Macaca fascicularis: one gene and its partner. The protein of the gene in region 2 interacts with the protein of the main gene of each other region in a biochemical or structural test. Links are inferred from orthologs where the notes say so. Each region holds a gene or a part of one and is shown on either strand. Other genes may lie near its edges. The genes, in order: SUMO3 and PIAS2.

The links.
Region 1: the proteins of PIAS2 (region 2) and SUMO3 form a complex in vitro, tested with the Homo sapiens proteins (2 studies listed by BioGRID, with this or other methods). The link is inferred for Macaca fascicularis from reciprocal best matches to the Homo sapiens genes PIAS2 and SUMO3.

Annotation. Positions count from the first base shown.
Region 1 is NC_088377.1:2,241,210-2,245,714, reverse strand, and holds the start of SUMO3 (small ubiquitin-related modifier 3), read right to left. Parts: upstream 3,074-4,505; 5' UTR 2,991-3,073; coding exon 2,970-2,990; intron 1-2,969. UniProt on the Homo sapiens protein: Ubiquitin-like protein which can be covalently attached to target lysines either as a monomer or as a lysine-linked polymer. Does not seem to be involved in protein degradation and may function as an antagonist of ubiquitin in the degradation process.
Region 2 is NC_088392.1:42,938,149-42,941,956, reverse strand, and holds part of PIAS2 (E3 SUMO-protein ligase PIAS2), read right to left. Parts: intron 448-3,808; coding exon 313-447; intron 1-312. UniProt on the Homo sapiens protein: Functions as an E3-type small ubiquitin-like modifier (SUMO) ligase, stabilizing the interaction between UBE2I and the substrate, and as a SUMO-tethering factor.

The DNA of each region.
Region 1 (4,505 bases), on a different chromosome or scaffold from region 2:
AGCGATGCCTAAATACAGGGAGTGGGATGTAGAAGGCTCGCCTGAGGGTGAACCCGGGGACTGCCCCCATGCTTGGTTCCTGGAGACCCTGGGGAGGTATGGTGCTCTGTCAAGGGAACTAGAGTGGCCGGCAAGGGGCCCTGGCAGTGAGGGGCTCCAGCTGCGAACCTGAAGGTGCGTGTCCTGGGCCAGCACTCACTCCCCAACTCCAGTCTTGGGTCAGACACCCTTGCCCACTCCCGGGACGCCGGTGGCTTGGCAGCAGCCTGAGTGGTGAGCTGGCACACCCCCATCCCCCCATCCCAAATGTGGCCTCCAGCGCAGGGAAAACTGGCCTAGGAAGGAAGAGCATGCAAACAGTTCCAGGCGGGATGGAAGTGAGGACCCCTGCATGAGCCCCCTTCACTTCCCCAAGCATGAGGATGCACTGGCTTCTTTAGGGAAGGAAGATATGAGTGTGTTCAAAGGCACAGATGCAGGGCCCACACGTGTCCCCACAGGGTAATGGCTGCAGCCCCAGGAGAGGCTGGGGCAGGGCAGGGCCGGCCACAGTGCCTCTGCTCCAGACAGACAGACACCAGCAATGTCGGTCTGTCCCAGACCCCTGGTAAATTCCTAATAAGCAAGTGAACTCGTGAGTTAAAAAATGAAGCCCTAAAAACATGGGCCTCAGTTTGCTAGTCAATCCTCCGCCTCAGCTATCCAGGGAAGTCAGAACATTCTCCTGCCTGACCCAAAAGCTCTTCTTTCCAGCACCACTGGGCCCCAGAGTCCACTTCTTCCCCTTCCTCAGAGCCCCACAGGGTAGAGCTGCTCCCACATGGGCTCAGAGGGGACCCACCAGGAGCAGGGCCTGTGAGGTGGCAGCCACTCAATCATTCTGGAATTCAACAAGTGTTTTCAACGGAATTGGAGCCTGAGGTTGACCACATGGCAGAGCTAAGTGTAAACACTGCTGAGAAAATGAGTATCATACATATTTTATTACATGTACTCTTCATTAAGAGGAAGCCACCTACGAAAACATAAAGAAAGGACATTTATATTTGGCCTAGTTTTAACAAGTATTTAAATATTCAAACAACCCCTGAGTGGGAGAACTTTGACTTCACTGGAGTCAAAATGTAAAAAGCGAAGGTCACTCCAAATGCCATCTGGATAGGGGAGGTTTCCTTGGAGTCTGACCACAGCAAGCAGAGTGCAGACTTCCAGAGGCCGCAACCATGGTTCCGGACGGTTCCATCCCAGTTTCCACCAGTGTCTGGCACTGAGCCTCCACCCTCATCTGTAAAGGGAGGGTGGTCACCTCCAGGACCAGGCCAGTATCAGAGACAGCATCCTTACAGAGCCTTCAGCTCTAGTCATCTTCCACTAGGATGTAACATAGAGGCCAAGAGTGCACACCAAGGGCTTCCGAAAGGTTCTCTTTTTATGAACACTGGAGACCGCGACTAAGGACCCTCCCAAGGAGGAGTGGCCAGTGCACCTGAATGAAGGGTGCATACCCCAGGACTGAGACTGGAAGGATGCACACCCCAGTGTGGCAATGGGGGAAACTAAAGCACACCCAAGGCTGGATAAGGAGGGGTGGGTGCGCATGGCAGGGGAGGCGCAATGGGGAGAGGTGGGCACACACCATAAGGGGCGTGATGGGGAGAGGTGGGCACACACCATAGGAGGTGTGATGGAGAGGGGTGGGCGCACACCGGGGGACGCGACGGGGAGGGGTGGGCACACACGGGGGGTGTGATGGGGAGGGCGACGCAATACGGAGGGGTGGGCGCACACCAAGGACGCGATGGGGAGGAGTGGGCGCACACCGGGGGGCATGATGGGAAGGGGTGGATGCACACCGGGAGACTGATGGGGAGGCGAGGGCGCACACCTTGGGGCATGATGGGGATGAGTGGGCACACACCATGGGCGGCGTGATGGGGGGGGTGGGCGCACACCGGGGTACGCGATGGGGAGGGGTAGGCGCATACCCGGGGACGCGATGGGGAGGGGTAGGCGCACACCGGGATATGCGATGGGGAGGGGTAGGCGCACACCGGGGGACGCGATGGAGAGGCAGTGGGTGCACACTGGGGTCACGACCGGGGAGACAGGAAGGAGAGGGGTGGGCGCACACTGGGGGACGCGACGGCCAGGACGCGGTGTGGAGAAGTGGGTGAATACCGGGGGCGCGATGGGCGCCCTGGAAGGACGGCAGCGCTGCTCACAGGGGCTAGGCCCCTCAGAGCGCGCCCCTCGGGGGTAACCCCAGACGCTTATTCCTGAGCCGACTCCGTGCACTTGACACAGGACCCCGCACCCAGGGCGATGCCGGGGGAGAAGGCGACCCCGCCCAGCAATGACTCAGGAGAGGATCACGCAAAGACGCCTCGGGGACACTGCCGGGGCGGGATCCGAGGGCGCTGCGCTCGGCAGGAGCAGCGCAGGGCCCGACACCCGGCGGTCTGGGAGGCGCTAGGCGCGCGCCTTCCCAGCTAGGGAGGAGATGGGCGTGGAGCTGGGGCGTGGCCAGGCCCGGCGGGGACGGAGCTCGCGGCACAGCGCGCTTCGGGGAGGGGCCCGTCTTGGGCGGACCCACTTAGGGGCAGGGCGCTACAGGGGGCGGGGGGGCGGGGCGCTATAGGGGGCAAGGAGAGGCGGAGCAGGGGCACGGGGCGGAGTCGGGCTGGGGGCGGAGTCGGGATGGGGCGGAGTCAGACTGGGGGGTGGAGTCGGACTGGGGGCGGAGCCGGGCTGGAGGCGGGGCGCGCCGCCGAGCGCCGCCGGGCGGGGGAGGGGAGCGGCGCGGCCGGACGGGAGCGGGGGAGGGGCGGGAGCGCGGGCGGCGCTGCAGGCCTGGGCGCGGGTCCCCGTGGAAGCTGCGGTCTTCTATGGCCGCGACAGTGGCGCGCGGCGGCGGAGGCGCCCGGGACGCCCGCGATGGCCGCGTGTGCGGGCGGGGGCGCCGCGCTTACCTTGGGCTTCTCCTCGGACATGGCTGCGCGGGCGGCGCGGGCAGGCGGCGCGGGGGAAGCAGCGCGGAGCAGGCGAGTCACGCTCTCGGCCCCGCCGCTCTCCCGCCGCAACTGTGCGCGGGGCCGCGCTTTATCCCCCAAATCCCGGCGCACCCGTTGGCCGGCACGGGGTCACGTGGCGGCGCGCGTGCACGAGGCGCGCTCCCCGGGGCGTCGGGCGCGCGCTGGCCGGGCCGCGGCTCCGGGCTGTTGGAGATGCGTCACGGGGCGGGTCCCGCGCGACCCTGGCGGGTGCGGACGCCCTGGGGCGCTGTGGTGGGCGGGCCAGGAGCGCGTACGGGGACTCCGGGCCCTGGGGACCCCTGCCCGCCTCCCCGCCCGGGCCCGGGCCCCGAGTCCTTTCTTGGGGGCCGCGTTCCTGGGGCGCCAGGAAGTGAGGCCGGGGGCGCGGGGACCTGGGGCGGAGGAGGGAAGCCTCTGGGGGTGATGTTCCCTCTCGGGAGCCGCGGACAGAGCGGAGGAGGCGGCCCGCGGGGTCCCGTCAGCGGAGGCCGCGCGAATCCGGCCAGCACCTAGACGGTTGGGGGCGCCACGCGCTTCCCTGCAGCCGAGGGTTCCTGTCAGCCGCAGGCCGGGCTCCTTCGGCCAACGCTCCTACGGGGCTGCCCCGGGCCCTCCACACCCGTCCTCAAGAAGACCCGTTTTTCCTGTGAAGAAACTGAGGCACTGGGAGGTGACACCACCCCCAGGTCAGCGCTGGTGAGGGGCGTCGAGCTGGGCCAGGCAGCCCCGTCGCCGAGCGCGGGCAAACCCAGGCTGGACGCAGCCAGTGCCGGCGGAACGGGGACCGCGTGGACGCGGGAAACGCGCCGGAGCGCTGGGCCGGCCGGACGGCCTCCTGGGACTTGCGGGCGCCATTCCTGGGATGCCCGGCCAGCCTCGGCCTCCCTGTCTGTGATCCCAGGGCCTCGGATGGAACAGACATGAGGGCGGACACCCCTGCATCCGTCAGGAGTGCCAGGGTGGTGCCAGCCGGGGCGTGGCGGGGGTCTCACCTGAAGTTGAGCCCGGCAGAAGGTGGGGGAGGCCGCACCTAACAGGCTCAGCTGGGAAATGGCAGGGCTTGGATTTGAACCTAAGGGTCTGAGCCGTTTCTCTCCTGCCTGGGTAAGGCCCAGCCAACTGAGCAACGTCGCAAAGCCATGGAGACAAGTCTTCATGGACCATAACTTCACAAATCGTCTTCGACTCAAAAATTCACTTTCTTGGCTAGAGCCCCCACTTAGGAGCGGGAAGGCTGCTGAAGTCTCTCAGGGAGAGGGTCAGAGAGTCAGCCTGGCTTCCAGGCAGGTCATATGGTGTGGTCCCTTCCTTCCGGAACCTGGAGCCCAGGGCCTCAGCAGAAGATGTGGAGGTGGGTGGCCAGCTCAGACTGTCCTGGGAGGGGGCTCCGCAACCAGCCCCTTCCCCGGAACGCGGGGCCTCAGAGCCCTCAGATTGCTGGCGGGGAAGTGCCCTAGGGCAGGCAGGGTTCAG
Region 2 (3,808 bases):
TCCAAAGCTTCTAGTTTATTAAAATACTCAACACAACATTACATACAATTGCGGTTAAACCATTACCTTAAGAAATATAAATATGCATATTTTCTTTCCAGGAAAATAAAGAGACGATATTCAAGAAAACTCAGAGCTAAAGTTTTTAACTTTAAGAATCTCCATACTGCCGCCTCTGAACTGAAAATTACTGCTTTTTAGAGATTACAATCCACAAACAAAAAGAGCTGAAGCCAACAGCTTAAGAAAAAACACAGTAAGTCAACCCCCAGTGGGGTCACTGTCCTGCTACCCAAAATGGAGAGCTTTTACCTTCCCAATTTCTGATGCCCAAGAAATGGATATTTGGTTTGGCACAGCTGAAGATAACCTAACTAAAGATGTAATATTCAAGGGGCGTCCAGGGCGCTTCTGTTCAATCCCATTTTTAGGCGGTGGTGCGTAGCCCTATAACCATAAGAAAGAAAAATTATTTCAAATTATCTGCAGGAAGATTAAACATTTTCTCCAAGATAGATACAGGATCCTGCCCAATTTCAGTTACACTATTTTTATTTTAGCCTAAAAATCATATAGTCCTTATTATCATTATCAACCCAAAACAGGAAAACAACCTTTGAAAAAAAGTTACAAAATATTTCACAAGTCCAGAAAGGTAGGAAAAAAATCCATGTCCCATCATTAAAATTAAAGATGCTGACATCTTGCCACATTGGCTATGAATCGTTTTCCTTTTTCATAGGACACCAAGCTTTACAGATAAAGTCACAACTTTTTATAATGATTCATCCTTAGCAATCCCCATTTCAAATACATGCATATATTCGGGGTGGGAAAGAAAGAAAGCAAACTGGGAATTGAGGGGAAAGAAAGAACAAACTAACGAATTTCATTTTTAAAATTTGGTGAGTGATAAAAATATTTTCCACTGCATTTTCTCTGGGTGGAACAGAAATGGTAATCTTTTAACCCAGGTCAAGTTAACAAATAAGGATAATGAGCATTTCAACTGTCATTAAATGAGCTTGATGGCTATCAGATAATACTGCTATTTATGCTTTAATCTACTTTTATCTAGTCATCAACCATTTGTTTTAAATAGCAAGTATACTCATTTCTGATTCGCAGTGTATCCAATTCCCAATTACCACAAGACTTCACTCTGATTTTTCAGAGCCAAAATAATGTATTTTTTAGAAAATTAAAATATCTTAGCTGCAAAAAATCTACATATTGAAAAGTAGATACCATATTTCACTGACGCTAGGATGTCATTGATGTAATTTAATTATGTACTATTGAGAAAGAAAATACTATGTATATATGGCAAAGAAATGGAAGCAAAATGAATTAACATATTCCCTTTTGGACATAAGAATCTTCTGAATCACTTTTCACTCCATCATTAATCCATACATTTTTCCACATAACACTCCCCTATGCACAAGCAGGAATTTCAGAGAAAAAAGTATCTTTTAAAACTGTATTTCATTCCACTAATGTCTCAGATTTCTCTGCAAGTCACTGACACCATTAACTGGATGTGTTAATGGGGATACAATCTGGATCTTATGAGAATCCATCAGTGAAAAGTTTTCAGACAACAGCCAGCATTCATGCTTCTTTCTCAAAATGTCCTTAAATTATTTGTTAACTGAAAAGCCAGGAGTACAGCTAACTAGTCACGCCATGGCAATAACACCAAAGTTGTACAAGTGCAGACAATGATAATACATCACAGCTGACACCTGGTCACCAGCAATTTTAAGACACTTCTGGATTTCAGCAATGCTAAAATATGCACCTTAGGACCAATGAAAACTAGTACTGGTAGTATCACATGGCAAAGAGGACCACACCCTGTCTACCACAACTTGGGAACTGTCTCATAAGGGGCAGGACAGTAATTACTAAATGGTAGTCCACATGATAATGTGTAATCTATAACTTGCAAAAAATTTTGAAAGTAATTAAAAACGTTTGAGCAGGGGAGTAAAAGACAAAGAGAAGAACTTAAATAACTTGCACTAGAATACAGAAATGAAAGAGAGAGAGACAGTGTGTGTGAGTGTGTGTGTGTGCGAGAGAGTGTGTGTGTGTATGAAGGTTATGCCCATCTTAAGTTGCTCAAGCGAAAAAAAAAAAAAAGTTGCTCAGAAAAAGAAAAAAAAAAAAAACTCCTAAGAAAAGTCCTCTTAAAAAGACTCAAGAAGTTGATTCAATGAGCAACAAGTACAAGGAATATCAACACCAGTATCTAGGTAATTCTGAACGAAACTTTTGTTTTGCCTGTTTTGGGCCTGGAAGATAATTCTGTCTGCTGGTATGTCCACCAGTAGGTTAACCAAATAAAAATGATACAGGGTCTGTCAGGAGGATAAAAATAACTCATGAACTAAAATGTGCACTCTGGAAATTAGAATTTAAGACATAACACAGCCTGACACAGTAGAAAAGGGCAACAGAAGCAGAGAGAGTGACACTCATGTAAGAATGAAGTGTCAGCAAACTCAGAATCATGTTAGTCTCACTCAGTGTAAAGCGTTTTCAATCTATTCTATATCCCATTTGAGTAGTGTGACTTTACTGGTAATTCTGAGTTATCTGATAACCTGTATTCTACCTCTAACCATCAGCACCACCCCTACCCAACCATCAATTTCCTGGTTATTGAGAATATATTAATAGTTGGAATTTTATAAAATATAAAGTTTAGCCTTCACACATATTTCTAACAGTTTTCCATATTTAAAGCAAAAATAAAGTCAAGTTCATGTGACAGGGAACCAGTGGGGCAAATCTGCAAGCTTTCTAAGCAAAGGCTGCTGGACGGCACCAGCGGAAGACTTTGTGGTGGTCCTGTGACACACTCAAATAATTTTTTATGTTTCATGCTCTGATGACACCCTACCCTACTTGCAACTGTGACAAAAGTTGTCCACAATTATTCTACTTTAACGTTTTCCTCCAAATTTTCTAATTATCACTACTACTTGAATACTTCTAACACAGATTTACTTTTTAACTTTATGGAAATTTTCAAACATACACAAGAAAGGTACAAACAGCAGGGACCCACCAACCAGGTTCAATAATTATCCACATTGCCAATCTTGTTCCAAATGCTTTTGGCCCCAAAGCCAATCTGCCCTAAAACACACACGCCACAAAAATACACATTTCTTTTTGCCCTTGAGTATTTAAACTCAAATTCTAGACATGCCATTTAACCCAGATATTCAACATGGATCTCTAATAAGACTTTAAAAACCTACAGTATTACAACCCCACAAAAATAACCAGTTTTAAAAAATCACCTAATACCTTGTCTTTCGATTCAGATTTCCCAGGTGCCTCAAAATTTATTTTCCTTTCATCCTTTTATTATTGAAAATTTTAAACATATACAAAAATAGAGAAAAAAGTATAACACATATATATCTATCAGTTCAGTAATTTACTTACCCATGAACAATCTTTACCTACTCTACCCAACCCCCACTCCAGATTATTTTAAAGCAAATCTCAGATATATTTTCTATTTTCTCCATATGTAGTTTAGTATAGTCCTTTTACGGCTTGAATCAGAATTAAAAACTAGAGCCCCACACCACACTTAGTTATGTCTCTGAAGTCTCCTTTATTCTATAAACACAACCCCTGCCGTCTCCAAACACACACTTTTTCCCCAATGCTGTTGTTCTACTGGAGAAACCAGGACTTTCGACCTGAAGAACGACTTCGCATTTTAGATTAGGTATTTTGCTTCCTCAAAGTATGAGATTTGTTGCTCTATCTCCCATATATT